3 linked regions of the Callithrix jacchus genome follow. The protein of the gene in region 1 purifies or fractionates together with the protein of each later gene. This does not show direct contact. Links are inferred from orthologs where the notes say so. Each region holds a gene or a part of one and is shown on either strand. Other genes may lie near its edges.

Region 1 (8,171 bases):
TCAGAGGCTGAGGCAGGAGAATTGCCTGAACCCAGGAGGCAGAGGTTGCGGTGAGCCGAGATCACGCCATTGCACTCCAGCTTGGGTAACAAGAGCGAAACTCCGTCTCAAAAAAAAAAAAAAAAAGAGAGAGATTGAGAAGAGGCCTCCTATCATTCCTCTGTCAGTGGATGACACAGTGTGTGTGTCTGGAGGGCGGAGGGGAGGTCGGCGCTCTGGATTAAGGGGCGTTTGTCAGCCCAGGGCACTTCTTCCTATTCGAGGTTCCCATACTCACAGCAGCTGGGAGAAGGTGCGACAGTTCCGGAAAGGGGGTCTGGGTAGGCACAACCGCATTTAGACAGGAGGCAATACTGAATGCAATTATCAGCAAGTAACAAGCTCCGCCTGCTCAGATCTCTGGGAAGCAGAGTAGAAGGTGCCTCTAAGAGTCACTCTGCGCAGGAGTCTGTGTGGAGAGGAGGGGTGGGGGGTGCTTACATTGCAACTCCCCTCAGTGTTTGACCCCTTATTTCTCCACATGTTAATTCTTGGCACCTTTGGCTAGTGGGCAGAGTGAGCTCTGAAAGTCAGAAAAAGTCCCCAGGTAAAGATGTGCGGGGGCGGGCACTGGAGGCTGGGCAGGTGTGCAGGCGGAGGGGTCAGGCCGGAGGTGGGCAGGAAGAAACAGCGTCTGCTACAACTTTTAACTGAAGACACAAAAGCATCGGAGATGGAGCCGCCAGAGGTGGGAGGAAAATAAGAGGAACGGAGTCGTGGGGCTCATTTTCGCAGACGCTCTGGGAGATCCCTTTCGCCCTCTCCGGGCATCCTACCCCATTGTATCTGAGCACTTTATCCCGCCAGCCTGGGCAGCTGCGGCTCTGGGAAGCCCAGGAAGGGTGTTTGCTGAGCCTCCCACAGCCGGTCCAGCCTTAGCTTGGCGCGATCAAGGCACATTCGCGGTGGCGACAGAGGGGCTGGAGACCTTCCCTAGAAAATAATGAGCAGAGAAACCTTTACTGATTAGTTAAATCCCGCGTAATCCCGGCTGATGAAGACAGATTCGGAACCCTTAACGGATTTAGGGACCCAAAACGATTCCTGGGGATGGCCCGGGGCGGGGGCTGCCCCTCTGGCCATAGATTTACGGGTGATATCTGAGAGGGGGTGGGAGGGGGAAGCTAGAAGGAGCCCATTCTCCCCGCCGCCAGGGCGCGGAGGCGTCCCTTAAACGCGGCGGGTAGATTTGGCAACTGCGAGGGCGCCACAGGGACAGGTGGAGTGTGGGTTGATCAGGAGCCAGCCCTTTGTCTCTTGCAGACCTCTCCTAAACTGCAAGAAGCGCTTCTCTCTCTGGTCCTAGCCCACGCTGAGCGGATTCCCGCAACGTAGGACGCGCAAGTGGATCTCAAGAGCCCCGGCAGCCGCGGGGGGTGGAGGCGGGGACGCAGATCAAGCGCTGCGTCGGATTGGGGCATTTCTCTTCGCGGGAGGGCGAAATGAAAGCGTCCTTCTGCGCTGCGCTCCCGCCACCGCCACGCTGAGAAACACAATGTGACCCAGGACCCAACTCGTCCACTGCTGGGATCTTGCAGGCCCCTCCCTGGCATTGGGGTCCCGAGATGCGTTAGGAACGTCTCAGTCCAGGAATTTCAAGACTCCTTAGAAATTCTCCTCTTCTCCATCTCCGAGTTCCCTTAGAGCCCCAACACCGGCTCCTTTGATCGGGTCTCTTGCTGGGTTTCGCTCTCCCCACCTCTTTCTCTGTGTCGGACGTGACTGGGTTAATAAGTCTCTGTTGCTCTCACCTGCAAAATGAGTTTAAGACGATCCTTCCCGAGGGTTTGAGAATGGGGATGTTCTTGGCACTGCGCCGAGCTCACCGTGGTGGTCGAGGCTGGGTTCCTGCCGCCTGGCCTTTTGGTGTCTTTGGATCACTGGCTCTCTACTCGGGGTCTGTCACTCCAGTGATCGCGAACCTTCCAGGCAGACCTAGGGGGAGGGAGACCCGAAGCCCTGGCCCAGGTGAGGCCACTCGGTCGCGACCCTGCGCTGCAGGTGCGGCACCCGAGTCCGCCCGTGACTCAGGCTTTCCACTCGCGGGCGACCCCGGTCGGGCCACCTTAGAATCTACTGCCCTGCCTGCCTGACCTGTCGCGAGCTGCAAACTGTGTGGAATCGTAGGTATCTCCCTTAACTGCGACCCCAAATTCGGATTTGCAAACGACCACGCAGCCGCACGAAGAGCCAGAGCAATTCTTTCGGACCCAGTATGCCCAACGCCTTCTTTAAACCCAGAGATAAATCTGGGGGCATATTGGTCGGGGAGCCGAAAACAATTCTGGCATCTAAAGCGTCTCCCGCTTCCCGCCCCCGAGCTGGAGCAATTCAAAGACAATTATCGCAAAGGAAAGTTATTGTTTTGCTAATCCCGGGAACAGCTTGCAAGGAAAGATTTGGGTCTTCCTTTAGTAATGGAAAGTTAATGCGTAGCCTCCTGTAATTATCCTTATCGGAAGCCCTTTGTTTAATCTGCACGTTTAGCTGAGGCCCCACCGAATGCGCAGAGAGCGGGAGACCCACTTTTCAGGGCCGGGACTCGGGCTCCAGCCCGGCAGGAGCGCAGGCAGTCGCGCCGGGTTCCTCTGGGGCTCAGGCATTCGTTCCTCGGTCGCTGAGGGACCTCGGACTGTAGGGCCCTCAGAGAGTGGGATTTAAGAGATAGGCTTCCGGGGCTCTGGGATTGGGAAAGGTGGACTCAGGCATCTCAGCGATGAGGGTTGGTTGGTTCAAAGCGCGAACCAGGAGTGGCTAACCCATGCGCTCTGTGGTCAACTTTAACGAATACGAATATTTCAGATTATTCAAAGAATCAGGGTTTCTTTGAATAATCGGGAAACCGCACAATATTGTAAGCCTCGATGAAAAGTGCTTTCCAGTAGACAGACACTATTTTATTCCAATTTACCTCCCTCTACTCCTTCCCAATTTTGGGTTGCTGAATAAATACTGATACTTACTCCTACGGAAAAAAAAAAAAAATGGCCCTCCTTGTTTATCCGAAATTCACATTTCACTGAACCTAATATGTTTTGTTCGTTAAACCTGGTACCCTGCCCGTCTCAGCCCAGGGCAGTTCACTCCTGCCTCTGCTTCTCTCCCTTTCCCCAGCTTGTGTGAGTCAGCGACCCCCTACAGCTCAGCCCGTGGAGTGCTGGGGACGAGCCTGGGGATAGATTTGGATGGAGGAAGAATGACCGAAGATTAAATATACGATTTTCATTCCTTTCCCTTTGGGGATTTTCGGAGAAGACCGTCTTGCGGGAAGGCCTTCGTGGCACCGGCGGCAGAAGTGGAGGGCTGGTTGGGGACTTACTGGTAGTAGCCATGGGGGTGTGGTTGAGAATGGGGTGCTAGGTCTTAATGGGCAGTTGGGTAGCATCAAAGAAGCTTCAGGGCAGCTGGGAGTGGGACCTCCACCCAGAGTTTGGAAGAAAGGAGAAGACCACGGCAGGATGTAGAACTTGAGGCTTTTCCAGGGACAGGGAGACAGCGGAGTCACTGCCCCTTCCCTTTTCTCCTTTCCTCCTTCCTAGAATGGGGGGTGGGGTGGGCTGGAGAGAAGAGAGGAGAAGGAGGTGACTGAGAGGACTGCAGCTGGGAGGGCGGTAACCGAGGGGAGGAGAACTGGTGGCGTCCCCAACTCGCGGGGTCCGGAACGGCGACGCGCCCGCGCCCAGCTGATTGGAGCCCTTCAGGCCTCCCGCGCCCGACCGGCAGCCCAATCGTATAAAGCTTCCTCTAAGCTGGGCCCTCGGCAAACGGGGTCCAGAGAGTTTCGCGCCTTTTGGCTAAGGAACCATGACTGGCCGGGACGCGCTTTCCGACGGCCGCACCAGGAGCAGGGCGCTGGTGCCTGGCGGTTCTCCCCGGGGCTCGCGACCCCGGGGCTTCGCCATCACGGACCTGCTGGGCTTGGAGGCCGACCTGCCGGCGCCCGCCGGCCCGGAACAGGGATCTGGCTGCGAGGGTCCGGCGGCCGCACCGTGCCCTGGCCCAGGGCTCGACAGCTCCAGCCTGGCGCGTGGGGGCCTCCCGCTGGGGCTCGGCCTCCTCTGTGGCTTCGGCGCGCAGCCTCCCGCGGCCGCTCGAGCGCCCTGCCTGCTCCTAACTGACGTGCCGTTCCTGCCGCCCAGGGGCCCCGAGCCCGTTGCCCCGCAGGCCCCCAGTCGGCCGCCTGCGCTCGGCCGCCAGAAGCGCAGCGAGAGCGTCTCGACATCCGGTAATCAGGCCCGCGATTCCCGCTCCTGCCCCGGTCCCCTAGGCTCCGAGCCGCGCAGGGTCACACACCATCGCCCCACTACACCCCCGGCCCCAGCGGCCCAGATCTAAGGGCAGCGGGGAGCCCAGAGCGAGGCCCGGTCGGGGGAGGAGCATTCGCGGAGCTGCGCCCCCGGCCCCTTGCAGCATCCTAAATTCCTGCCTCTCATCCGGGATCCTGTTTCCTCGGCAATGCCGGACCGCCACCACCTGGTGCCAGGTGGAACCCTTTGATGAGACCCTTGGCACCAAGGGTCTTGGGGTTGATGGTCTTGGCACCCCAACAACCATCTCCAGAAGGCCTTTTTTACCCTCAGCGCCAGGCGCCAGTCTCAGCCTCTGGCAGCGGCGTGGGTCGGGAAGGCCTGGGGCCTGTGTTGTTCACCAGCAGCACCGAACCTGGTACCAGGTGGAAACGCGGGCGGAACGGATCGAATGATTGGCGGCTCCTTGAAGAGCACCGGGCCTCGAGCCCAGGAACTGTCCGTCCCTCAGGGTGCTGAAAAGAGGGTCTCGGTTACCTTGCTCCTCTGCCGGCACCGCGGGCAGGAGAAAGAAGCAACCTCGGGGATTCATTAAGCCTAGAGTTATGTAGTTAGCCTAGAGATGTGTTCTCCGCCTACCCATCTCCTCAAAGAAATCCAGGCGGGTGGCGGGGAAAGAAAAAGAAGCAATGAAATTCTGTAAAGGACAAGGGCTAAGAAACCGAGTGGGTTGGGGTGTGGGAGAGAAAAGAAAGAATTACGAAAGAAAGAGTGGACTAGCGAAGGTACGTGGTAGAACCTAGAGCTGAGCATCCAGGCAGCCAAGGAAAAAAGAGTACACTGGGTCTCCTGTTATTAGAAGGAAGCATATCAGATCAACAGGCAGGCTCCACTCTAAAAGGACTTAATTTCATGAGCCTCTACTTAAGACAAAATGAAACTTCCTATCAGTGTCACTAAAAATGCAAAAACTGTCTTCATGGGATGAGTTCATTCTTCTATGAGCACTGACAAAATGAAAGGCAGCTAAATTCTATTCTGCAGGCATTTCTGAAGATCTGGAGCAGAGCTGTCCAAGTGAAATGTGATGTGATGACATGTTTGATGGAAGTTTCTCCCAGCCACATTAAAAGTGAAATGAATCTAAATACTGCATTTTAACCCAACAATATTCATAACTGTTATCATTTTACACATAATCAACACAAAAATTTTACTTTTTAGGAGCACTAAGTCTTCTAACTCCATTGACTGATTTATGTCTACAGCAGGTCTCAGGTTGGACAGCCCAATACAGAATGTTTTAATCCAAGTCAGGTTTCTGGTGGACTAATTGATGTAGGGTGTAATTGATGTAATAAAACTATTATTATTTAGTTATTTTTGCCTTTACTCATTTAAAAAATATTTTGAGGAAATAATGCTTTCTTGCAATGAATCTCACAATAGTTTGGTCCTCTAACTTTCTTTTCCATCTAGACTTTTTGATATAATGAGTATAAAAAGGTAAAACAGAGCAGAGCGGTTCTCAAATTTTCAGGGGCAACTACAAATCATCTGAGCACACTTGTCAAGAAGGCGCCTCCTAGACCCCACCTCCAGAGAATCTGATTTGGTGCATCAGGGCAGGGATGCAGTTCTGACAAGCGTTCTGATGTCACAAGCCCTGGACTTCCTTTGGGAAATGTTGGTTTAGAGGTTAAGGTGATAAAACTATGTTTGGAAGCAGTGTGGGGACAGAAAGTCTAATCAGTGGCCGAGTAGCTCTGGCTTCAGATGATCTGGGATTTGAATCCCAACTTCACCATTTACTACCTGTGTGCTCTTGGGCAAATTACTTAACCATTCTGTGCCTCAGTCTTCTCATCTGTAAAAATAGAATGGTAATAATAGCAGCCGCTTTTGTGTTTTAGTGTTTTATTAAGAACACTTGAGATAATACATGGGCAAGGTTAAGCGCAGAGCCCGGGATCTAGTAGGTGCCAAAAATGCTCCTATTATTCACTACTCAAATACCCGAGAGGTTCATAACTTCACTCCTTACACTGAAATCTAGGAAATAAAAGGGAGAATATGATCACCTTTAAACTCCTTTTTGTGCCAGCAGATGAGGACAGCCCATGTGAAGACAGGAATGACCTAAAGGCGTCCCCCACCCTGAGCAAGAGGAAGAAGCGGAGGCACAGGTACAGGGCCAGGCAGTCCTCTCTGCCTGCTTTTCCTTGGGACACAGCCCAAGTTTTCTGGCACCTGCACCTGAGAATTTATGGCCCTGCATGATGGCAGGCCCAATGGCCTCCTGGTTGGCAGTGGGAAGAGCACAGAAGCCATTTGGGAAGACAATTTTGCAGTCCCAGGAGGCTGGGAAAATGCTACAGTCTTGGTAGTATTTTTTTCGGTAGCATTTTAAAGACACAATTTTGTGGGTCTGTTAGATAGATTTTGCCAGAATGAATGGATGGAATTCATTAAGAAAGAGCTAAAGGACTGTTTTTGTTTGAATCAAACTTCTGGACTACATCAGCTAATCATTCAGAGATGGGGTGTCCTGTTATCATGAGGTGGCTTCTGAGGTGTTGACAGTGGGGGAGGCAGGCACGGTGGTCCTTAAGGCCAGGGAGGCTGCTTTCCCCAGGGCACTCGTGCCGACGTGTGTGTTTTGGGGTCCCTGCAGGACAGTTTTCACTGCTCACCAGCTGGAAGAGCTGGAGAAGGCGTTCAGCGAGGCCCACTACCCTGATGTGTATGCCCGAGAAATGCTGGCTGTGAAAACCGAGCTCCCTGAAGACCGGATACAGGTGTCGGGGTCCCTTTTCTCCTTTTTGAAGACACATAGAGAACGTGTCATTCCCACGCTCAGTCAGCCAATCAGTGGTCCCTCTCTACAGCTTCCTTTGCACAGAAACTGAGGGTCCCTTAGCTGAAAGCACCACAAGAGCATGTCCCTGTGACCCTCATGCCCTTTTTCCTTTTATTATTATTAATATCAAATTATTCTTTAAAATCACGCAATAATGTGTGTTGCAACTAGAAACTATATAAAGATATGCCAATGGGGTGGGGGGGTGGAGACTACCTCTCCATGTTAAACCCTGAAAGAAATCAACATAAATGCCTGAGGAGACCTTTCTGCACTTTGTGGAGCACATTACCTGCCACTGCACATGTACGCGCATACACATATCTACGCGCATACACATATCTACATGCATACACATATCTACGCGCATACACATATCTACATGCATACACATATCTACGCGCATACACGTATCTACATGCATATACATATCTACGCGCATACACATATCTACGCGCATACACATATCTACATGCATACACATATCTACGCGCATACACATATCTACATGCATACACATATCTACGCGCATACACATATCTACGTGCATACACACACGCTCACATGCATAGGTGGAAGTTTGCTTTTGTCTTTGCCAGAAGATATGTCACTCCTTTTTAACAGCTACACCATATTTCATAATAGTCTTTCACTAACATAATGTTTTTCATGAGAAATATCACCAAGCAATCCAATAGCCTAAGCTTGGAAGGAGCGATTGCCCCAGTGAACGCTTCCCAATCAATGAGAAAAAGAAACCCTGTAATTGACCTCTTCACACAATGTGGGAAAAGGGAGTTTGATTCTTTAGTTTATACATCCCTGACTCTATGGAAACTTCAGTGGACGTGGTCACTCGTGTCCGTAGCGCGCTGAATGCCCGTGAGTCCGGAGTGCACGTGGGCGCCGCTGGGGGCTCCTGGGTGCGCTCCCCGGGGGCGGCTGGTTGGCTCTCAGGAGCTATTTCCTTCAGAAATAACATGGGATCGTGCTGGAGCGAGGAGCTCTGAGCCCAGGGACGCCGC
Region 2 (7,411 bases), about 110 Mb from region 1:
TTTAAATTCAGATATGGATATTTTTTCATACATAATGCTATTATATAATAGACTACAATATAGTATAAATCTAACTTTATATGCACTGGGAAACCAAAAATATGTGTGGCTTACTTTATTGTGGTCTTCCCTTTATTGTGGTGGTCTGGAACTGGACTTGCTGTGTCTCCAAGGTATGCTTGTATTTCTGTCACTACTCTGTGGGATCCAGTATTAGTGACAGTGGACTGGGGGCTGAGCTTCTTGCCTTCTCATCTTTCCTCTCTCAGTTCTCTTAACTCTCCCTTTAATCCATATGTGCCTGACTCTACTTCTAGGACCAGTCCTGTCCTTACCAGGTATTGAAGAAGACCCATTCATGGCCAGGTGACTCTGTATTACATTGTCATGGCCACAGTCCATCTCTGAGTGTCTGCCCTAGGTTTAATGACTGAGTTGCTTCCTGTTTCTGAGATGAAGGCCCTACCTTTTATTTAATCTTCCCAACTAGATTCATATCTTATTCCCCTGTAGCCAGTCCCAGTCATGGTTACTTGTGTAGTATCATGTCAAAATCATATTGGCAATAGGGATTTGCTGTAGTCAACATCTCCAGCTGCTTCTTGCATGCATACCCTCGTGCAAGTCTTCTGGAATCTGAGTTGGGTGGGTCCTTCCATCTGTTGAGAAGTTGGTGCCACCTGGCTCCCTGCCTGCCTGCCTGCCTGCATGCCTGCGTGGATCTCCAGATGTCTGTCACTCAATACTGTATTCTATACACATGTTAGGGTACGCCATGGGCCTCATTTGTGCCTGTGACCCATCCCTCATTTTAACACATGCTGGGGATAGGTTCTGCCACCTAAATGTCCTCTCATTGCTTATATCTTACTGAGTTACCTTAGTGTCTTTCTCACGTAAAGCATTCTATTTCCCCTGACCCCCTCGTTGTAATGTGCCACAATTAATCCTTGTTAATGGTACACTTTAAAAGAGCATGGAATTCAGACCTTAGAACTGTGCGTCTTTATAATTATTAAGCTTTTCTGTGTGGTCAGGACTTCTCTGCTGACAGGATGTTGGCAAGTTCATAAGTGCCTGTGGCTGGATATTACATTCATCTGCGGTAGAGCTTGCAAATAGTGTCTTCTGGATCAAATTCCATCTGTAGAACTCTCTGTTTGGCTCACACAGTTTATAAAAATGGGAAATTTACTTTAAAAATTGTTTCTGACTATTGAGAAAAACAATTCAGAGATGAGACTCCACTGGATTTCAGGGTCTGCATTCCATCCAGTAATCGTGTTGCTTGCCTGCGGCAGGGTAATTGCTATTCTGGTTGGGGGTGGTTGCAGGCGATGTTGGTCCTTTGTCCAGCTTCTTCCTAGTCCTTTGGATTGTTTTCTAATACTTAGCACCTGCTGGCTTTGGGAAGGACTCCCCCGTGGGCTACTGGAGAAGGGAGTTTCTGGCAATTTGGTTCAAATTCCCAGTCTTTGACCAGCCACTGACAGGTGCTGAAGAGCATATGAAAGCGCAGCTACCTTGTGGTCAAGATATATCTGAGGTGAAATTTAGCTTCTGGAGTTTCTCTGTGACACTGGGCTGAAGCCACCCTTTCTGAGATTTTGCTTGAGATTGAATCCTTACCTGTTTTCCTTCCCTTCCCTGCTACCCCTCCCCCTCCTCCCCCTTCCACACACACACACACACACACACCCGTCCATCCACCCACTACATTAATAAATCACAGGCCTGGGACTGGGACTTTTTATCTCAGAGTTTGCTCTTAGGGTCTTTTGTGATGTTCTGTTTGTCCTATGGGTTATTTAGAAATATGTTGCTTAGTTTCCATATCTGGGGGGATTTTCTAGATTTTTTTTTTTTTTTTATCAGAGGACGTACTCCAATTTCATCTTTTTAAATTTATTGAGACTTCTTTTATTGTTCAATACATTAGTGAATGTTTTGATTGAACTTGAGAAGAATGCGTATAGTGCAGTCTGGGATAGAGTATTCCATAAATGTCAATTAAATCCATAGTTAGGTTGTTCATATTTTCCTATATCCGTACTGATTTTTTTTTTTTTTTTTGCTATTAGTGAGAGAAGTCTGTAAACATTGCAATTCTGATTATACACTTATCTGTTTACTTCTATAATTCTTTCCCATTTTGGAGCACATGCTTTTAAGATTGTTATGTCCTCTTAGTGAATTGACCTTCGTTATTATGAAGTATTCTTTATCTCTGGTAATATTCTTTATCTTGTCTGCTTTGTCTGACATTAGGATAGCCTGCTTACTTAGGATTGGTGTTTACATGGTGTATCTTTTCCCATCCTTCTGCTTTCTTTTCTGAATAGTTTTAAATTATAATTAGACATTATCAAGAAAGGCAACCCTTATTATGTTAGAATACAGAATGGATGCAATTTGTCATTTTAAAGACGTAAAAGGAAGAAAATGCCTACAGTTGTGCCTCAGTATCAATTGATTCCAGGGTCCTCACATACAGCAAAATGCCTGGATGCTCAAGTCCCTGATATAAAATGGCATAGCATTTGCATATAACCTATGCACATCCTCCTGTGTGCTTTGATACATAATACAATGTAAATGCTATATATAGTTGTTACACTGTATTTTTTAAAATGGTATTATTTTTCTTGTCATTCTATTGATTGATTGATTGATTGATTGAATATTTTCAATTCATGGTTGGTTGAATCTGTGGATCTGGAACTCCCAGATGTGGCGGGCCAACTGAATAACAGAAATTCATCCACATTTTAAGTAGTTGTTTATGTGATCGGTAAATGTCATTAAAAAATAAATTTTAATAGAAAATTAATTTTATCCATTTACAGAATTTTAAAAATCATTGTCTATTCAGACTTTAAAAAGGAAAAATATGTTCTCTGTCCTTCTGTTTTTTTCTTCAAAATTTTGTCTTTTGTAGATAACATGTTCTAAGACAACTGTTTTTTAAAACAATGACAGTGATCAAGAGCTCCCTAACATAACCTCCCTCCCCACAAGTTTGAATAGAAGGAAAGCCAGAATCCTATAAATTCTTTGGTGTTTTGGTGGTCTTGGTGTTTCGAGCAGGAAATCAACCTTTTTTTCTTCCTTCTGCTGCAAAATCTACATAATGAGTTTCACACTCCTTACACGTATGTTCAAGCAGTTTTCTGCTTTTTCTTCTGGAACCATTTCAATATGAGGGAAATTTTGTAAGCTAGCAGCATCTTTAAAATATGGCTCCACACATATTTTTGCATGACAGTTCCATGGGCAGTTGGTTTCTTTGTGGTAGCCAGCAGTTCTCTGGGAGGATCTTTGGCCAATAGGATTCATCTTCTTCATGTGTTGTCTGATCAAACATATTGTATCTGCTATTATTGAGATATTTTCTTTTTTCTGCATTTGGACTTCCCCTCTTTAATTTCTAAAAGCACATTTTCCCTAACCATCAGGCCATGTTCATTATCTTTCTTCTTCCTAATCTTACCTGACTGCCATCTATTAATAGTACACTGACACTCATTTTATGCTGAGAAAATTCTTCTTTTGCATCTGCCATTCATTGGAAATTCGCAAAGGATACCCTGCTGTTTTGTAAAGATTTTGTTTCAGTAACTCTACGTGGGTTTAATCAAAGATTTTTATGTTTCATAGTTGAATTATTTTATGTATAATTTTATATACTTTTTAACTTGTATTTTCCATTGTCACCTAGAAACTTTCATCCGCATTGTTTTATTTAAGTTGTATAACACTCTGTTATGTTTGCATTCTAATTTATTTTAACATTACCTGTTGTTGAATAGCTGGGATTTTTCACAATGTAAAAGAACTCTACAAATAGATTATTCTCATAAGTGATGTTTTGAGGTTATATATTTTAATTTATGTTTTTAGAAATAGGATTACTGAACCAAAGGCCATAAAAGCTCTTAATTCATATTGCTGGGTTGTTTACCTTTACTTTGGCTAATGTTTCCAAAAGGCCAAGTTAGCTGAATAGTAAGTAATTTAGGAATAATAAGCTATCTACCATATCTAAGATGTGTAGAATGCAGATTTAGTGTAATGTTATAAAATGATTTTTTTTTTACTTACTAGAGGCAGTGGCTTACCATTTATCATTTCTTTAAATTGTGAGGAATATTTTGCTTCACTAAATCCATTTAAAATCCAGTTCTGCAACATTTGGCATCTATCATATGCCAGGCATGTTGCTAGATAGTGGAGAAATAAAAATGAAGGGAATGCTTTCTAAGCTGCCAAAGGTCCAGGGCCTAGAAGAAAAGAACCGTAACCACCTAAAACTTTTACCATGTAATAAGCTTGACATATATAAAGTGAACCTGAAAAGTGCTGATGGAGGATTGAAGAGAGCAGGTATTTGTGCCAGAGGGTGTGACATTTGAGCTGAGCCATTAAAAGAAGAATAGATTTTTAGGTGAAGTAGGAGTACAAAGGCACTCTCAGGGAGAAATAGCATTTAAAGGCATCATAAAGACTATTTTGAACATTAAGAACAGCCTGTGTTTCACAATTAAAATCTTAACTCCTGAGTTTCCAGGTTATTTTATTCCCTTTCTAGGCTGTACATAGCCATTGTTCTTAATATGGAATTATTTCTTATCTCTGACAAGCACATTGAATGGTCTTTAGTGCTTTTATTATTTTAGTCTCCTATTGTTAGTCTGTATCTGCATCACATAGACTGATAGAAAAAAATGGATTTCAGTCCACTCAAGTCCAAAGGAATTGTCAGTTTCAAGAAACTTGTTTTTCCTCTACCACTCTTGAGCACCCTGTGCATTCAGCCTTATTATAAGAGATGTGTGTTTGAAATATAAATATTCCTTAACCAAGGACTAATGCCATTCCATCTGTCTTGGAGCTGTATTGAGTGCTGTGTCAAATGATGTGGTGTGGTAATGATGGGTAGGGTGGGGTCGTCTTAGGGTGTTCAGAATATTGTTTTGTCCATATAAAAATAATTGGTAGAAATATGCAAAACTGGGCAGTGCTGGGCTATTAAAACCAACCCTTGGCTGTCTGTTCATTGGATATCATAAAGTTTGATAATTCAAGGACATGGTGGATATCTTTTATGAAATTTTGTTTTCATTTTTATTTTTAATAGGATGAAAGTTAAAAAACTGCCCATGATTCTAGCTCTGCACCTGAAGAGATTTAAATATATGGATCAACTTCATCGATATACAAAACTCTCTTACCGGGTAGTTTTTCCTTTAGAACTTCGTCTATTTAACACTTCAGGTGATGCCACCAATCCAGACAGAATGTACGACCTTGTTGCTGTTGTGGTTCACTGTGGAAGGTAATTACAACTCCGGGTACATAGTAGTGGAATTTCTAGGTTGGAAGAGCAGTGTACATTCAAGATATTCATGAATGATTCAAATATAGAACTTTTAGAAATTCTATATCCTCCTCAAGACAATTTTGTTTCAAAATGGATTTTTAGCTTTACATTTTATCACTCCTTAAAGTTTTTATATGTTAAATATATTATTTTTATTTTTATCATTTGTTACTCTACAACTACTACATCTTATTTCCTAGAACTTTGAGGTCTCTTTGTTTTTCTTTTCCCTTTTTAGCATGTGTGTGTAGAGGGTTGTTAAAATAAGTCACTTCTGAGTTTAATTGCATATGTTCATATTAATGGTCATAAAGGTTTAAAATGACGTTGGAAATAATCTTCAAAGATTCATTTTCTGATTTTACCCATGTGTGTAGTTGTCATTTCCTATTAGCCAGTTTAGTGTTGTGTCTCCTTTTCATCTTCTTTTCCAACATGGTATACACATCTTTGTATAATGTACATACATATAACTGACCTTATTAAATACCTCAAAACATTTTCATATTGCAAGAGTATCACATAATCAAAACTTGTATTTGTAAACTACTGTCTTCATTGATTGCTTAGAATTTTTAAAAATAATTTTAAAACAGGCACTCATCAATGCTGGTTTTGGGAAACGTGTCCTAACAACATGCTTTAAAAAGACGTCCAGCTCTCCCATCTTCAGCCCTCCTCCCACCTCTCAGATGAGAATTTTTAAGGACAATCCGGAGGGAGCAAATGCTCTGTAGTAATCATCTTCCACCTCTATTGCCTGGGTCAATCTTGGCTCCAGTCTTTCATCGTCAGCAAGTGTCTTTCTTCTACTTCTAAATTAAGAGTGATCACATCTTAAAGGAGTGAAGTAGTGTCAGATTACTTAGAGAACTTTGGTGTGATGATTCAGATCAGGTTTTCAGAGTGAGAGAAACCTGGGTATCAGTACCATTTCTGCCAGTTGTGGGCCATGTGACATCATGCCTAGCTTCCTGAAAAAGCTTCAGTTTTCTCTTCTAGAAAGTGTCAATAGTACTAACTACCTCATTGCTTTGTTCGGATTCAAAGGGAGATGTAAATCACTTAACTGCTGCTGTTGTTTTAGTAACAAAAATATAATATTACCTTCTCGCATCCTAACTTCATAGTTACTTTCTCACACCCTAACTAGACTATTCTTAATCTCTTTAAATTTAGTGATAGTCCTACCCTACTTAATTATGCTAGAAGTTTAGAATCACTATTCACGAGATACTGAGTTGAGAATCCTAACTCAGATGGCAACAGGGTTTCCCTCCCCACTCTCCTTTTAAAAGTAATCCAATTCTTTTCCCACCCTTAAATCCTCACTCAGGTCTCTTGACCCTTTCCCTTTTTAACCTTTTCTTTGACCTCACTTCCTTCTCCCAACTTGAACTCCACAGTCAGTTATTTAAAGCATGTACTTACAAGTACTGTAAAATCCTCTTGCCAGCTGTCTGAATCCCTACTGTCAGAATTCTTGCAGAAAATTGCAGAGAGATGCTTATTGACTTTCCTCACAGCCCTGGTGGTCTGCCTTCACTGGGAACTCACTCCTGGTGGAATCTGGCACAGCAGGTCTTTGGGACTCCCGCCCCCACTCCAGGGTTTTACTCTTCCTCCTGTCTCACTCTCATTGCCTCATGCCTTCCTGCCCCTTCTCTCTGGATGTCTTCTTTGATGCTCTTCTGCCTAGCCCTGTCCCCACGTGGTGCTGCTCCACTGTCTTCACATAAATACTAGATGTGCATTGCTAACCCTGTCTTAGTGCTTTGTGTACTGTATGTATGTACAAAAAGGGTGTTTGTCTACTTCCCTTGTGAGTACAGGTGCTTTTTAAAACAGGAAATAATTTGCTCACTAATAACAGACTAATCATATTTTAGAATATTTTTCCATGGTGTATTTTATCTATCAGACTTATTTGTAGATTTGTTTCATATGAAAATGTGGAGGGTGTGCACAGCCTCATTGTTAGCATGTCAGTCCCAGTTCAGCTTGCTCCTTCTCTATCCCCAGTGCTCAGCC
Region 3 (8,103 bases), on another chromosome or scaffold:
ATTTAGAAATACCCAGTTTGAAGCAGAGCATGCTGGCTCACGCCTGTAATCCTAGCACTTTGGGAAACTGAGGTGGGTGGATCACCTGAGGTCAGGAGTTTGAGACCAGCCTGGCCAGTGTGATGAATGAAACCCCATCTCTACTAAAAATACAAAAATTAGCTGGGTGTGGTGGTGGGTGCCTGCAATCCCAGCTACTGGGGAGGCTGAGGCGGGAGAATCTCTTGAACATGGGAGGCAGAGAGCTGAGACTACATCACTTTACTCCAGCCTGGGCAACAGAGACTTCGTCTAAAAAAAAAAAAAAACCAACCCGGTTTGAAATTGAAAGTCAGAAATAAAGTTTAGGTCAGGCCCAGTGGAGTGTTGAGATCTCGGCTTACTGCAACATCCACCTCCCAGGTTCAAGCGATTCTCCTGCCTCAGCCTTCCGAGTAGCTGGGATTATGGCGTGTGCCAACGTGCCCAGCTAATTTTTGTATTTTTAGTAAAGACAGGGTTTCATCATGTTGGCCAGGCTGGTCTCAAACTCCTGACCTCACGATCTGCCTGCTTTGGCCTCCCAAGGTGTTGGGATTACAGGCGTAAGCCACCACACCTGGCCACTCAGGCCCAGTTATGTAGATCTGGATGTTACTTATTGGATCTTTGAGTATAGGGAGAAAGAAAAGGTATGAGAGAAAAATAATAAAAATAGAGATTATTCAAAGGCTATGCATGAGACGAATTGAATAGTCTATTACTGTGATAATAATAAAATGTTGAATTTATATAGGGTAAAATCTTGATAGAATGCTTGAATTATATAGGTATTATGGGAAATAGAATGTTGTGGTTAATTGAGGAATAATACAAATTTTTTTTTTTTAAATAGAGACGGGGTTTCTCCATGTTGGCCAGGCTGGTCTCAAACTCCTGACCTCAGGTGATCCATCCACCTCAGCCTCCCAAAGTGCTGGGATTACAGAGGCGTGAGCCACCGTGCCCGGCCCAAATTTTTTTTTTAACTTTTGCTTGCTGGTTTTTTTTCCCCAAAAAGTATAAATACGTTTTTTCCTCTTGATAACTAGGTAACACAGATAAATTGCTTTTAGATTATTCAAGCTGTCACCATCCCTCAAGTGATTACTGTCAGATACATGTTTTCAATGTAAAGTATCACAGTTATGGAGTTTGGGATATAGCCATGGCAACCACAGAACATACACTGGTGGTTTTTTTTTTTTTTTTTTTTTGGAGATGAGTCTCAGTGGAGTGCAGTGGCACAATCCCGGCTCACTGCAACCTCCGCCTTCCGGGTTCAAACGATTCTGCTGATTCTGCTGCCTCGGCCTTCCGGAGTAGCTGGGACGACAGGCGTGTGCCTCCACGCGCCTCTTCCAAGCTGAAAACACTTGAGTAGAGCTGAGACTCTCCGCTGGTCGGAAAACCCCCGGCAAACGTGCCGGTCCCCTACACCTGGCTGATTTTTTGTATTTTTAGTAGAGACGGGGTTTCACCGTGTTAGCCAGGATGGTCTCGATCTCCTGACCTCGTGATCCACCCACCTCCCAAAGTTCTGGGATTAAAGGCGTGAGCCACCGCACCTGGCCCATACCCTAGTGTTTTAAGATTTTTGATCTCTATTTGACTTTTAGGGAAAGTCAGATAACACCGAAAGAATTGTAACAAAAAAATTTAAGTATTTTTAAGGTTATATTAATTAAATAGGACTTCAGTGCTTTTTTTTTTTTTTGCCAACACTACAAAGGAGAAAGATGTTATCAAATGTATTATTACACCATTGGCACAGTTTCTATTGGTGTCTACTTGCTTTGTGGTACAGAAAATGTTTATGATTTAGACTTCTCCTACTTTGGAAATTGCTCCCGTTCGCTTCCTTTGTGACCCTCCAGATCTAATCTGAACCTTCAGGAATAGTTCAATTTCAGTGTTACAAATGTTGGTTCCCCCCCCCCCCCCACCCTGGAATCCTATCAGAATGTTTGTCACTTTAGAAACTTTCTTATTCTGGTGCAACACGCCAAGAAACCCAGGTATAAAATAGTGACTGTTTCATCTTGCGTTGGCACGCGTGCCCGTCCTTACAAATCTAGACCCCGTGCATTACATGCATACCACTATCCCTACGGATCTCCTAGTAAACAGTCTTACAGACTCCGCTTGAGGCTTCTGAAAAAGAATCAATTACCTTAAATGTTATTAAGAGCTGTTCATAAACCACTGAGCAGCAGACGTGAATCCTGCACAGACGCAGTCCGCAGTTCCCAAAGCGCTTCCCGCCCCGCCCCCCGTCTAGGAACAGCCGGTGAGGACAAACCTTCGCTAAGAAGCGGAGGCCGCCAGTGCTCACCACGCAGGAAAAGGACATCTGGCTTGAGAATACCCGTGCGCTGCCACGTTCTTCTCTCTCCCCACCCCGCCTAAAAAACACACACACAGTGAAGCGTAAATCTTGAGTCCTTCGGTACCTTCTCAGAAACGGCGGGGAGGAGGCTTCACAGGGGCTTCCGGACAGGGGATCCAGACGGTCGCGCGAGTCCTCGAGCCCTCTAGGCGGGACAGTCCCCGTCCCGAAGGGAGGGCGCAGGAGGGCTGGAGCCGTCCCAGCTCCCGGCAGGGGACCCCGCGTGCTGGCCCCGAAGCAGTGGCAGTCGGGGTGGCGCTCTTCTCTTCGGGGTCCCGGTACCCCTCAGGGCAGGGCGGGAGACAGCTGAGGAGGCGCCCTCAAGTTCGCCTCAAGCTCCGGACGCAAGGCCCGCCGCGGCTTCCCCGGTCCGGCTTTCCGTCTGCCCGGGCGGATGCGGAATGAGCAACCTGAGCCCCCAAGCGGGAGCCGGCTTCACCTGGGAAGCAGCCCAGCAGCCCGGAAGCCACGCCCAAGGGAGGAGCTTGCGGACGCCCCGCCGCGTGGAGCGCGCCAGGTGAGCACGCCTGCGCAGTCGGGCCGTAAACAAGCCCGCCCCTTCTCTTCGGCCCGCCTTCGTGGGGCTGGCCCGCGGGTGGGAGGGGCGAGAAGGAAGAGGCGGGGTGGGGGAAGAGCGAGCAGCAGGAACGGCGCCTGCGCGGTGGGCGTGATCCGGGCACTTAGGGCAGGATGAACGCTGCTTTCCAAGATGGCGACGGAGGGAGGAGGGAAGGAGATGAACGAGATTAAGACCCAATTCACTACCCGGGAAGGTCTCTACAAGCTGCTGCCGCACTCGGAGTACAGCCGGCCCAACCGGGTGCCCTTCAACTCGCAGGGATCCAACCCTGTCCGCGTCTCCTTCGTAAACCTCAACGACCAGTCTGGCAACGGCGACCGCCTCTGCTTCAATGTGGGCCGGGAGCTCTACTTCTATATCTACAAGGGGGTCCGCAAGGTACCGACCCGGGCGTCACCGGGGCCCGCCAGCGGCGTGGGCAGAGGCCGGGAGCAGGGCGGTGACAGCGGGGCCAGGGTGACCGAGATGGGTGGCCGTCGCTCTTACTTTTGAGTGGGCCGGTAACTCCACTGGGGTGCTCCTGAGGAGAGGGGATTCAGGAGTGAGGAGGGTGGTGGCGGTGGCGTTTCGAAGGAGTGGGGGCTGTGGAAAGGGACCGTGGGGCGCGGGGTTCCGCCTGGGAGTCTCCCGGAGGAGCCGGCTGCGTCCCCTCCAGCCTGGTCCGTCAGGCTCTGACATGGCCAGGGAGCGGGCCTGCGAGTCCCCGGAAGAGGTGGGGTGGCCGTCTTGTCTGCTTCGATTGTCTCGCCTCCCTGGAGGGTTGGAAGTCTTTCCCTGGGTTAGAGAACAGGGGCGCAAGACGGCTTAGCAGGATCTCCGCAAGGCGGAACCCGGGCCGGGGAGCGGAGGACCGAGACTAGGTCAGAAAGAACCTGCTCGGCACGCAGGGCTACTCCACCTGCTGCCGCACTGACACTTCCTAGGAGCTTCTTTTGGTATTAACACTTCTATTTCCGAAAACATCCGCGGGAGGACGGCTGTCACTGTCTCCTCCGAGGGGACCTTCTCAAAGATTGTTAAGAAGGGTCATCTTGTCTGTCCCTGTAGTATGAGAAGGGCTGAGTACCACAGTTGTTGCAATAATGTGTCCAGGTTCAGAGGGGTGGTGTGTGAGTGCCCAGATTAATCTTGTCCAACAAGTCAGACTGTGTCCCAAGTAGGGAGGAATATGCCTTAAAAGCTACTTTAAAGGGGCCATCCTTCTTGGCGGGTGAGGTACCAGTAATTCTGTGAAGCCTGTAAGCATCCTTTAAAAGTATCTCTTTAAAAGCAGCAATTTATTAGAGCTTTTCTTTCGTTGACTATGTAACTATGTTTTCACTGAGAATTGCTATTTTTGAGATTGTAGTCTTTGACTTGATTTCATGGAAGAGTGAGGAAATTAATGCATCCCACACCACCTCCAAATGGGACAAGGTGATAAAAGATTAATTCGTAAATGTATGTTAGCATGAAAATAAATTGTACATAGCGAAGAGTGAACATTCCCTAGAATTTAATATAGCCAGATCCAGTACAGGATTTTTGCTTGTTAAAAGAGCTGGGGAAATGACAGTGGTATCTAAATGTAGCAAGTTGTTTCTTTCAGGGTGAATCTTTTAAGTGTTTAGGGTATGCTGTTGGAAGTTATTGAAGGTAAATCGCTTGACCTTTTTTTTTTTTTTTTTTCTCTTTTGGTATTGCAAAAGCTTGAAGTTGCCTTCAGTCTACGAGCTGAAGTTTTACTCCTACTCCCAACATTGTCACTTGTTGGGTGACCTTGGATAACTTATTTAACTTATATTTTCACCTCTTTGAAAAGGGAATGTTACAGTGCATATGTTGTAATTAATAATATAATAACTCTGGCCGGGTGTGGCTCATGCCTGTAATCCCAGCACTTTGGGAGGCCAAGGCAGAGGGATCATCTGATGTCGGGAGTTCGAGACCAGCCTGACCAACGTGGAAAAACCCCATCTCTACTAAAAATACAAAATTAGCCGGGCGTGGTGGTGCATGCCTGTAATCCTAGCTGCTTGGGAGGCTGAGGCAGGAGAATCACTAGAACTCGGAAGGCAGAGGTTGCAGTGAGCTGAGATTGCACCATTGCGCTCTATCCTGGGCAACAAGAGTGAAACTCTGTCTCAAAAAATAATAATAATATAGTAACTGTAATGAACACTCAGTATATGTAAAATATAGTTAAATACTAAGAGTAACTGTCAAATAAGAAGCTGCCATCTTGACGTTGATATTCAGAGTGAAAGGATCAATTTTGTCTCTGGAAATTAAGTTAGAATTTTAAGTTTTAAAAATACAGTGTGCCTAAAAACTAAATTAACTAGCAATTATTAATGCAGGCATTACTTTAAAAAAAAGTTTTCTGGCTGGGTGCGGTGGTTCACGCCTGTAATCCCAGCACTTTGGGAGGTCAAGGCAGATGGATCATCTGAGGTCAGGAGTTCAAGACCAGCCTGGCCAACATGGTGAAACCCCGTCTCTACTGAAAATGCAAAACTTAGCCAGGCATGATGGCGTGTGCCTGTAATCCCAGCTACTCAGGAGGCTGAGGCAGGAGATACCTCTTGAACCCGGGAGGCGGAGGTTGTCGTGAGCTGAGATTGTGCCACTTCACTGCAGCCTGGGTGACAGAGCTAGACTCCATCCCACCCTCAACAAGTTTTTTTTTTTTCTTTCAAAGGTTATTACCTTAGAAGCATCCTAGTGGCAAACCTTATCTGGATCTGGTAGCCCTGGTTTACCTCATAAAGACAGGTTTCTTGCCTGGGAGTATCATTGTAATAGTGTTCTCTTTTAGTGGAACGCTATTCACGGAAGGATAGAAGTAGGCAAGGTTTTTAAAGCTATATCAAAAAATTATTTTAAATAAGATAAATCTGAAATACGTAAATTGCCCTTACCTGCACAATTCGAGTGTTTTAACGTGTTTTGGGGGGTAGGATTTCATTTTCATGTGGTAGTAGCTTGTAGATACATTTGCATTATGTTGCAGATGTTTCAACTCTTTTAATTGTAACTTAAAATCTTTTTTCCATGAATGAGTTTGCATTTATTTAGTGTTATTTCTAAGTGACTTTTTGTGACTATTTTTTGATTTAAAATATAGGAAATTTTCCTTAATTGGAAAACCAAAATTTACCTTTTAGAGTTAGTAGTTATAAGTTTATTTTTGACAGCTGGCCATTAAACATGTGTTTAATTTTGTTTTTAGAGACAGGATCTTATTCTGTTGCCTGGGCTGGAGTGTGGCAGCATGCTCATAGTTCACTATAGCCTCAAACTCCTGGGCTCAAATGATCCTCCCACTTCAGCCTCCCTAGTGCCTGGAACTCAGGCGTGCACCACCACACCTGGCTAATTTTTTAAAAAAAATTTTGTTTTTAAGAGATGGAGGTCTTGCTGTGTTGCCCAGGCTGGTCTTCCTGGCCTCAAGCAGTCTTCCCGCCTCAGCCTGCTAAAGTGCTGCTGAGATTATGTATGTGACTTACCACGCCCAGCCCACAGTTGGCTGTTTTGACTGTTTTTTTTTTTTTCCTTTGAGGCATGTACAGTTTTACAATAATTATTTGGATTATTCAGAAGATCTAATTTCAATGAATAAATTCAACTTAAGTCTGTATGTAAAATGAGTAGAAAGTAGGTCTTTTCAAGAACTTAAATCATGAATTACGTGCTGCCATTCTTGAGAGGAAGCATGGGGCCCTGGGGAAATGGAGTGGGTGAGGAAGTAGTCCAGCATTCACGCTGAGGAGTGCCATCTTGACCCTTTTAAGAAGGTTTACAGATCAGTGTCTGCAGCTACGAGGAACTCTAGAGTTTGTTATTTCACCCTACTCAGAAACCAAGGCCAGAGAGGGATGCAAACCTGTGTTAGAATTTTTCTCATAGTAAGGAAAGTGAAGCCTAACTTAGTCTAAACAACTATCTTAGAAGAGGCTGAGCTTTTTATATCATATACTCCAAGCACTTCAGAATCTACCCCAGCATTTTACCGTATATTATTTTGTTGAATGCTTGAGGTAAATTAAAACATCTTTTCACAATCGAGGAGGTTTGGAATGGGGTTTCTTGTATGAGGAGATATAGTTTTGCAAATTTATTGAACTAAAGACAGTATTAACATTGATTTAATGCTGACACTAATCATCTCACCAGATTTGAGTGACTACTGTGATAGTAATAATACTAGGCAAGATGATGTGAGGTATTCAGACCCAAATAAGACCCTGTCCCTCTCCCCAAAAGACTTTCAACTACCAGCTTTCAAACATCTTTTTACATACTTTGTTCTCCTTTTTGAAAAAGAGGTTGTGGTCGGGTGCAATGGCTCATGCCTGTAATCCCAGCACTTTGGGAGGCTGGGGTGGGAGAATCACTTGAGTGCAGGAATTTGAGACCAGCGTGGGCAATGTAGCAATACCCTGTGTCTTCCAAAAAAAAAAAAAAAATTAGCTGGACATGGTGGTATGTGCCTGTAGTCACAGCTACTTGGGAAGCTGAGGAAGGAACATCTCTTGAGCCCAAGAGTTAAGGTTACAGTGAGCCATGATTGTGGCACTGCACCCCAACCTGGGCAACAGAAGGAGACCCTGTCTGGGTAACAAGACCAAAACTCCGTCTCGGAAAAAAAAAAAAAGAATGCTGGAGACTATGTGCAGTGGCTCCTGGCAAAAATAAAAGCCAGGGTGGCTCACACCTGTAATCCCAGCACTTTGGGAGGCTGAGGCAGGTGGAGCACCTGAGGTCAGGAGTCCGAGACCAGCCTGGCCAATATGGTGAAACCCTGTCTCTACCAAAAATACAAAAATCAGCTGGGCGTGGTGGCACTCGCCTGTAGTCCCAGCTACTTAAGAGGCTGAGGCAGGAGAATCACTTGAACCCAGGAGACGGAGGTTGTAGTGAGCCAAGATTGTACCACTGCACTCCAGCCTGAGCCTGGGTGACAGAACTAGACTTTGTCTCAAAAAAAAAAAAAAAAAAAATGGTTGTTTCAGGATGTAGGTTATAAAAGATGTCAAAGGTGTAGCTGGGCTTATTGGACCAGACCTCTTATTTTACGGTATGAATGGCCTCCATTCAGATCTCAGCTTAATCATTACTTCCTTAGTAACTCCTT

What was found.
Region 2: the proteins of VSX1 (region 1) and USP12 purify together in Homo sapiens (affinity purification with mass spectrometry; 3 studies listed by BioGRID and IntAct, counting the BioPlex papers as one, with this or other methods). This does not show direct contact. The link is inferred for Callithrix jacchus from reciprocal best matches to the Homo sapiens genes VSX1 and USP12.
Region 3: the proteins of VSX1 (region 1) and WDR20 purify together in Homo sapiens (affinity purification with mass spectrometry; 3 studies listed by BioGRID and IntAct, with this or other methods). This does not show direct contact. The link is inferred for Callithrix jacchus from reciprocal best matches to the Homo sapiens genes VSX1 and WDR20.

What each region holds. Positions count from the first base shown.
Region 1 is NC_133506.1:31,798,365-31,806,535, reverse strand, and holds the start of VSX1 (visual system homeobox 1), read left to right. Parts: upstream 1-3,801; 5' UTR 3,802-3,843; coding exon 3,844-4,264; intron 4,265-6,393; coding exon 6,394-6,472; intron 6,473-6,960; coding exon 6,961-7,084; intron 7,085-8,171. UniProt on the Homo sapiens protein: Binds to the 37-bp core of the locus control region (LCR) of the red/green visual pigment gene cluster. May regulate the activity of the LCR and the cone opsin genes at earlier stages of development. Dispensable in early retinal development.
Region 2 is NC_133506.1:146,238,529-146,245,939, reverse strand, and holds part of USP12 (ubiquitin carboxyl-terminal hydrolase 12), read left to right. Parts: intron 1-5,137; coding exon 5,138-5,335; intron 5,336-7,411. UniProt on the Homo sapiens protein: Deubiquitinating enzyme that plays various roles in the regulation of the immune response and inflammation.
Region 3 is NC_133509.1:137,064,569-137,072,671, forward strand, and holds the start of WDR20 (WD repeat-containing protein 20), read left to right. Parts: upstream 1-3,089; 5' UTR 3,090-3,116; coding exon 3,117-3,365; intron 3,366-8,103. UniProt on the Homo sapiens protein: Regulator of deubiquitinating complexes. Activates deubiquitinating activity of complexes containing USP12. Anchors at the base of the ubiquitin-contacting loop of USP12 and remotely modulates the catalytic center of the enzyme.